2 linked regions of the Caenorhabditis elegans genome follow. The protein of the gene in region 1 purifies or fractionates together with the protein of each later gene. This does not show direct contact. Each region holds a gene or a part of one and is shown in the gene's direction. Other genes may lie near its edges.

The links. The genes of interacting proteins can lie anywhere in the genome.
Region 2: the proteins of ift-81 (region 1) and dyf-11 fractionate together in Caenorhabditis elegans (co-fractionation; one large-scale study listed by BioGRID). This does not show direct contact.

Annotation. Positions count from the first base shown.
Region 1 is NC_003284.9:5,296,743-5,300,501, forward strand, and holds the start of ift-81 (Intraflagellar transport protein 81 homolog), read left to right. Parts: upstream 1-1,818; 5' UTR 1,819-1,889; intron 1,890-1,922; 5' UTR 1,923-1,953; intron 1,954-1,984; 5' UTR 1,985-2,007; coding exon 2,008-2,138; intron 2,139-2,731; coding exon 2,732-2,851; intron 2,852-2,908; coding exon 2,909-3,032; intron 3,033-3,304; coding exon 3,305-3,385; intron 3,386-3,472; coding exon 3,473-3,627; intron 3,628-3,759. Other genes in the region: ags-3 (Tetratricopeptide repeat protein 28), read right to left, coding at 1-21, 70-215, 823-958, 1,006-1,156, 1,212-1,284.
Region 2 is NC_003284.9:762,116-765,874, forward strand, and holds the start of dyf-11 (TRAF3-interacting protein 1), read left to right. Parts: upstream 1-1,636; 5' UTR 1,637-1,653; coding exon 1,654-1,794; intron 1,795-2,023; coding exon 2,024-2,182; intron 2,183-2,563; coding exon 2,564-2,710; intron 2,711-2,766; coding exon 2,767-3,230; intron 3,231-3,466; coding exon 3,467-3,596; intron 3,597-3,646; coding exon 3,647-3,759.

The DNA of each region.
Region 1 (3,759 bases):
TCCGACATCTCCAGATTTAGCCTGCAAATTTTAAAATCTTTATTAGGAAGATTGAAGTAATGAACTCACATAAAGTACTTGGCAGCATTCTCAAAATCCGAAGTGGCTTCTGCATTTTTGGCGTCATTTTTCTCTTCAGCAGCTTCCAGTTTTGTGCATCGCCCTCGCTCCACATAAATCGTCGCAATGTTGTAATAAGCTCGAGATTTGAGAACCTGAATTTTTTAAATGGAAAGTGTAAATTATCTGAATGCAATTAGGAGTTTCATTCTTGAATAATTGCGTTGTGCCTTATTTTGAAAAGCTGAAATATTTCATAGCAATATTCACAGCTGCTTCTAACAAGTTTCTAGGCAAGCATTCTGGAATCTTTTGGAATATACATTTTTATTTGAAAACATCTGAAACTTTTTCACCCAACTCGATCGAGAAATGTTTCAAGCTTCCAGAATGTTTGCATACCTGTAAACTTTCCGAAAACCACTAGAAGTTCGCAAAAATCAACATTGGATGCAATTTCACAGCTCTATTAAATATTGATCCTTTTCAGATGGTTTTTATGGTAGTTCAACGTGCTCTTCTGCCGCTAAATTTTTTGTGGTAACCTAGTTTGCAGGTCCCCTTTCAAATGACATAGATTTCATTCAGAAGTCTCATTGTAGGCTGAAATACTTTCCTTGTAACTATGGTTTATGTTGGAAACTTCGAAGAAAATTTAAGATGGAACTTTGTACATGTTTGCTAGCACGAAAATAATAAATCTCCTGTTGGTATAGCAACGGGTGCATTTTTTTTTCAAGTACAAAATCAAGTTCTACTCACTCTATCGCCCAACTCTTCGGCAAAATCCAGCTGTTTGAATGTGAAGGTGAGCGCGTCGTTGTAAGCGCCTTTCATCTTGAATATATTTCCCAAGTTGGCACACGACTTTGCTTCTCCCTCCTTGTTTCCAAGCAATCTGAAATTTTGTTTATTTTTTGTTTAAATTTCTTTCGCATTCGTTACCTTTCAACAAGAATGTCATACGTATGGAACTTGAGAGCTTGCTCATAATCTTTAAGCATTGTGTGTGCATTTCCGAGCTGACAATAGATAGCCGAGAGTAATGAAAAATCATCTGTGCCTACTTCCAACGCTTTTTTCAACAAGTCGATGCCTGAAATATTCAAATTCAATCAATTATTTACAAATAATAATAAAAAAGAAGTTACCTTTCTCATACTTTTGCATGCGAAAAAGACGTTCCCCTTCCTGTGTGAGCTTGTAGCAGGAACGGTCCTGCATCGCACCTTTCCCCGCTGCAAAAAAAAAATCGATTGATATTCTTCGATGACAAAGATTTCAGAAATCTGCACAATACTAGAAAAAAGGAGAGAAACACAAGCGATTAAGATTGAGAAAGAAGAATCGAAATGTGGTCTTTCAGAACAGAAAGGGTGGTCAATGTAGAAAAAAAGGTATTTGAATGATTTATTCGAACGAGTACGGACCAACAAACTCCTCTGTTTGTTCGTTGCACGGCCGCTCTCAGTACATGGAAAGAAACGTCCTTGCTATGTCTGCGGCAGCTCTCTCGTTCACTCCTCACGACAGATGAGCTAGTAACCGCGCGTTGACGTCATTTGTGTAAAGACGGCTAGGAAGTATTGTTTCGAGCAAAATATTTGTTAATTTAAAATGACAAAGGAATATAAACTGATAGTCTTAAAAGATACATTACTCAAAAAAAAACTCTCATATGAAAAATATAAATTATTACCTTAGAGTATCAAAAGTTCACATTTAATTACCACTCACTCAAAACAAATCTCTAACCACAGTTAATTACCAACAAACTGATTCAACTTGTTCAACTTCTGTTCCCTTTTCAATACTACTTGAAACATTTCACACTCACATAGCAAAGAGCCCAGCAACAACATATATTTACGTCGTGTTGCCCTGGTAACCGGGAGCGCTGCTCGACGAGCTCGCGTTTATTGTCATCACTAACGGTGTATCCTTAAGATGTCGAACGATATTCAAGGGTTTATTCTCCACTTTTTGAATGAAGAGCCGTTCAATCTCAACTTATCATCACTTCAATTCGACCAATTACCACCGCAGCAGTTGCTCCAAATTTTGAGTAATGTTTTGAGGTTGGTTAAGTCAAAAAAAGAAATTTAAAAAATGCGATATCGAGAAAAAACAGTTATGGTGTTTAAAATATTCACAAAAATTTTCCAGAAACGTGTGCTACATTTTTTGTGACAATTAAAAAACAGCTACTTTATTATTATTGTATCGTTATTTTTTCAAGAATTTTTCAAAGAAATATAAATAAATTTTTTTAATTTCTAAAAATAGCTTTACCTTTAATTGTACTTTTGGATGTTGCTCAAAAAAAGGCACAAAGTTACAATGTGCGTGTTAAATTTGCTGGTTGGCAAACTGATACTAATGTCAGTTTTTGAGCAATCTTCTTAAACTTTCTATTGAAAGTAATTATTTTATAGATTGCTGTGTAAATTTAAAAAAAATTTGACACAACAATAAAGAAAAGGGGTATCAGCAGGTCCACTTGGGTAGAATGTTCAAAAAATTCGGTTCTTTCTTATTTGTTTGCAAAATTTCAAAAGTCATAAAAAAATTAAGAAAAATTTGAATAAATTTTTTACAAACACATAAATGCTCTCACTGATAAAATTGAATTTAATAATATAAGAACAACGAAAATTTTTAAAATGTTCAGCTGGGTTTCCGACACGGACCGAATTGATATCAAAAGAGAGGCTGCTGAAGAGACTGCAATTCGTATTCTGAATATGCTCCGAATTCTCCGCTACAGACCACCGCAAGACCAGGATGAACAGTTCGTGCAAAACGAGGGCAATCACTAAACAGCATCTAATTTGACATTATATTACAGGGAAGAATGGCGTGCAGGGATTGTCGAAGGTCGCAAGACTAGCCTCTATCCTCTTCTGGTTTTTCTTTTTGAAAACTCAGAAGGTTTGAAAGAGCGCGCATATTTGTCAAAATATTTGATGAAGGTAATGAATTGCTATGCCAAAAGCCGACATGTTATGCTAGTGGTTTCTGGGGGGAGAGAAATAGATGTTGTCATTATTTTTTTTAAAAGAAAAATGATACATAGAGAACAAGCATCGTTCTGCTTGAATAGCTGATATAGTAGGCAAGACAGCCGAAGTTTTTGGTTTAGTTAGTCTCTGATCTAGGTACACATTGAATTAATGAATCAAGAAATGGCTAAACAGCTTCGCACTTTTTTGTAATTGGAAATACGTAAATTAATTATTTTCAGACAGATGTACCTGGAGAATTCTTCGATTATGATATTGAAGAGCTGCAAAATGAGATTGGAGAGTTGACAATGGAGTTTAAGGTTAATCACATGAGAGATTAGTCGTCACGATAGTGGATGAGCAAAAAAAAAGCAAAAACAAAAAAAAACAAAACAACTTTTCTACAGGAAATCCATGCTGAAATGAAAGGAATAATGGCAGACGTACTCTTGCTTGATGACATAAAAGAGGATTTAAAGTCAATGGAAAAAGAAAAACAAATTTTGCTCCGAAAGATTGAGAAGACCGAGAAGAAAGTGCAGAATATACCATATTTTGATAAGTAAGTTCAAATAATGTGAAAACTTCAAAAAAAAATTGTTCAAAAATAACAGGAAAATGTAGTCAAAATTTAATTAATTACTTGTTTTATGCGAAAAAAAGGAAAATTCGTTTAACAATAGAAAACTAATAA
Region 2 (3,759 bases), 4.5 Mb from region 1:
TATAATATAAGAAAAACGGGAAACCCCCGTTCACATTGACAATTATGGCTGAATGTACATACCCGAATTTGAGTTAGTTTCGCGCGCGAATGATGTTTTGCGGAAATTCAATCTTATTGTTTTTTGTACATATATATGCTTATTGTGATTGATTTCTTTATATTTTGTTGATAGTTTTCTATATACAGAAAGTTTTCAAATATTTTTCAAAAATGAACCTCTTTCTAAAAAATAATGGACCTTCTGGAAATTTTTCTAAAAATTCATGGCGATTCAAATTTCATTTTTTAATTGAATTTTCATTACTGAAAACGGACTTTTCTCGGTTTTTTTCTTCAATTTTTGAAACGTGCTGAAATGTACTATTCAATAAAATCCAATAATCCTGAAAAGTAGACCACAACGTAGCACACACGAGTAATTAGCGTGTTCCCTTTTTTTGTTGGTCTCTGAAATCGTGGCAATACGTGGATTCAAAAATTCATAAAATATGACGTCACAAATTTTTACATAGTGCAATTTTCATTTAAAAAATCATCGTGGCGTCAAAGCATTAAAGCCATGTGGCGCCCTAATTTCCAGAGGTCAACCTAAGATGGGACAATCTAAATACCCATAACCACAAGAAAGTAGAAAAAAAAATGGATTGTATTATTATGTTTGTCCATATAAAAAGATAAATAAAAATTAGAATTATTGACCAAATTAGTTTGTTTTTTTTTAAATAAGTAGTCTAGTATACTTGTAACTATATATTTTTCTAACGCCTACTACAAATGACGTCATATTCAATTTCAGCTGCCTTAAACAAATGACATTTTTTACGTTTCGTTCATATAGCCTATTTCACGTTTTTGCCTACTATTCTAGATTTTGGAACTTATGTTTTTTTTTAAACGAAAGTTATAAGTACCTCAATATTAAACAGGAAATTATAAATTTAAACATATCTCTACAATAAATGTTAGCATTCGGCTTATAAACAATTTGTTTATGTTTTTATCAAATAAAAACAGTGTATATTTAAATAAAGGATTATTTCTATTTGATTTCCACAATCGCGGGAAACCTCTGAACATTAAATCATAATTTTTGATCTACATGAGAAGCTTCTACTTTGTTTTTATAGAGCTAAGAACGAGTCAATGAAAAAATTATATTGTTAGATGAAGATTGTTTTCCTAAAAGTTTCGATGTGATTTTCATAATATATGTAAATCTGCTAAAAACAAAATTTTCCACGATTTCTTGTACTGGTCGCAATTTGACCACCATTTATAACATTCCAGTCTACTTTCTTCTTTGTTTTCACCCATTTTTCTGACGTATTATATAATCAGAAAAAAATACAATATATTGTGCGAAAATTAAAGAATTGTAATCAGTCACAAAATACCTCAACTAAGACACATTATTCTGCTGCTCTCATCGTCTCACGCACTCTTTGCGCGTAAGGTGGTCTCCATGACAACGTGCCCCCTGCCTCAACAACTCGCCACACAGCGCCACCTGATATTAGCGTGCTCTCTCTCTCTTGCGTGTATTACCGCTGTTTCATTCCTCTTTTTTGTCAGCATTTTTCACCTTAATATTGTTTTTCATGTATTTCATGTTTTTCGCAACTTGTAATGAGATTTTTGCAGTAAAAGTGCGATGAGCGTTGAGGAAACTCGGGAAATTCTTGAGAAAGTAATTCAAAAACCACAACTAACTGATCAACTGCTTTCACGACCACCATTCAAATTTATTGTTGATATAGTTAGCAATGTGATAAAGTCTACGGGGTATTTGAAGGTGGGTATTTGAAAATTTTATTCATAATAAAAAATTATGCGCGAAAATGTAGATTTTAAGAAATGTAATGTGGTATGAGAAAAAAAGAGAAAAAACCAGTGCCCAACTTTAGTTTTAAAGTTTTCGTTTGTCAGTGATGCGAAGTTTTTGGTCAGTGCTGTGCCAAGTTACTCAGTGCTGTGCCAACTTGGTCAGCGCATAAATTTTCGCTAAATTTTCATTTTAACAGACTGACTTCACCGACGATGAAATAAAGTCCGCTGGCAACGACAAAAACACCAAAACTGCCTTTCTTGACAAGCTGATCAAGATTCTAGATGACGGAAGTCTCAAAAACGTCAAAGCCGCCAAAATAATATCGGGGAAGGACGCGGAAGAAACCAACAAAGTGAGTTTACATTCTATTAACAAGAAATATCTGTAATGAAAAAAGAAGGCGCAGAATTTTAAACAGAATTTACAATTCGATGTGAAGTCGCTTCAATCAAATTTTAAAAAATCTGGTCAATCAGAAATTTTTTTTTAACTTAAAAAAAAAATTCGATTTCTTCCGTAAATTATATCAAACTAAATTAGTGCCCTAATCATTTTTTCTATTTAAATTTTCTGATTTTTTGTGATAAAAATATGCTTAATAGTAAGATAAAGTATTTAAGCCGTTTTCAACTTGGTCAGTGCATTACCAGATTGGTCAGTGCTACACCAAGTTAGCCATTGCTTTCGCTCGTCTCAGTTCTTAGTGCTTTTTTTACCTTTTACATTTATTCAGATGCTGCAAATGTTGGGAACAAATGCTACGAGTTTCAATTCAAGGAATGGTACCGGAGAGGAGAAAAAGAAGAAAAAAGTAAAGAAAGAGGACAAAAAGGGAGATGAAGAAGAGAAGTCAACTACTAAAAAACGTAGCAGTAAGAAGGTAGAGTGCACTTTTAAATATTTGTTTCCCCATAAACTCAGTTTTATCATTTTAAGGAAACGCATGAAGAGAAGGAAAAATCGGAGAAGAAAAAATCTGCAGAAGAGAAAGAGAAGAAGAAAAAGTCTTCGAGTTCAAAAGAACGGCATAAGTCTAGTGACAGGTCTAGCGAAAAGTCAAGCGAAAAGTCCAGCAAGGAGAAAAAGAAGGAAAAGAGCACAACAGACGAAAAACCCAAAAAGAGCAAAAAAGACCCGAGTGAACGGCATTTTAAACGACAAGACTCAATGATTGCTGTGAATGGAGATGCACCGGATACTCCGAACAATGAGAATGGAGATGAGGGTTATGACGATCATGAGATTTCTGAACCAACTGTTATATCAAATATGGAAACTGATTTGTCAGCTCAATCACTACTGATCCAACAGCCAGTGACGTCACCCTTGAAAACTGATGATAGTGGGATGGGTGAGAGCCCGAGAATGATCAAGCCCGAAGATAGACCCCCGTTGATAAGGTAACCTCTTACGGATTGGGTTTATCTTCAGTTCATTTTAAAAAATGTAGTGCACACTTAAATAATTTTCTGAAATTGAATTATCCGGCAAATTTTTGGCTTCAACATTGTTGGTTTACTCCTTCTTTGACCAACATTTTTTCAAATTCTAGAATAAGTTGTCAAAGTGAAATTTACACTGAGATTGAGATGATGATACACACAGTTTAATCAGCTTTTGACATAGAAAATTCCAGACCAATGACTGGTGCTGGAGGTGGTAGACCTATGACATCAATGGGAAGACCCGGAACCGCGGCTTCAAGGCCAGCGCCTCCAAAACTGAAAAAGAAACAAATTGCGACTGTTGACTCAACGCCACAAGTGGTAATAACATTGTTAATCAGTTTATTAATTCAATTTTGATACCACTTTAGGTAGTCGAACTCAAATCGGAAATCATCAGCGATGCTCCAAAAGTGGAAACCGAAGACGATAGCAATTTTATAATGGAAAATGACGAGGAAGATGGTGATAGAACCGCTAGAAT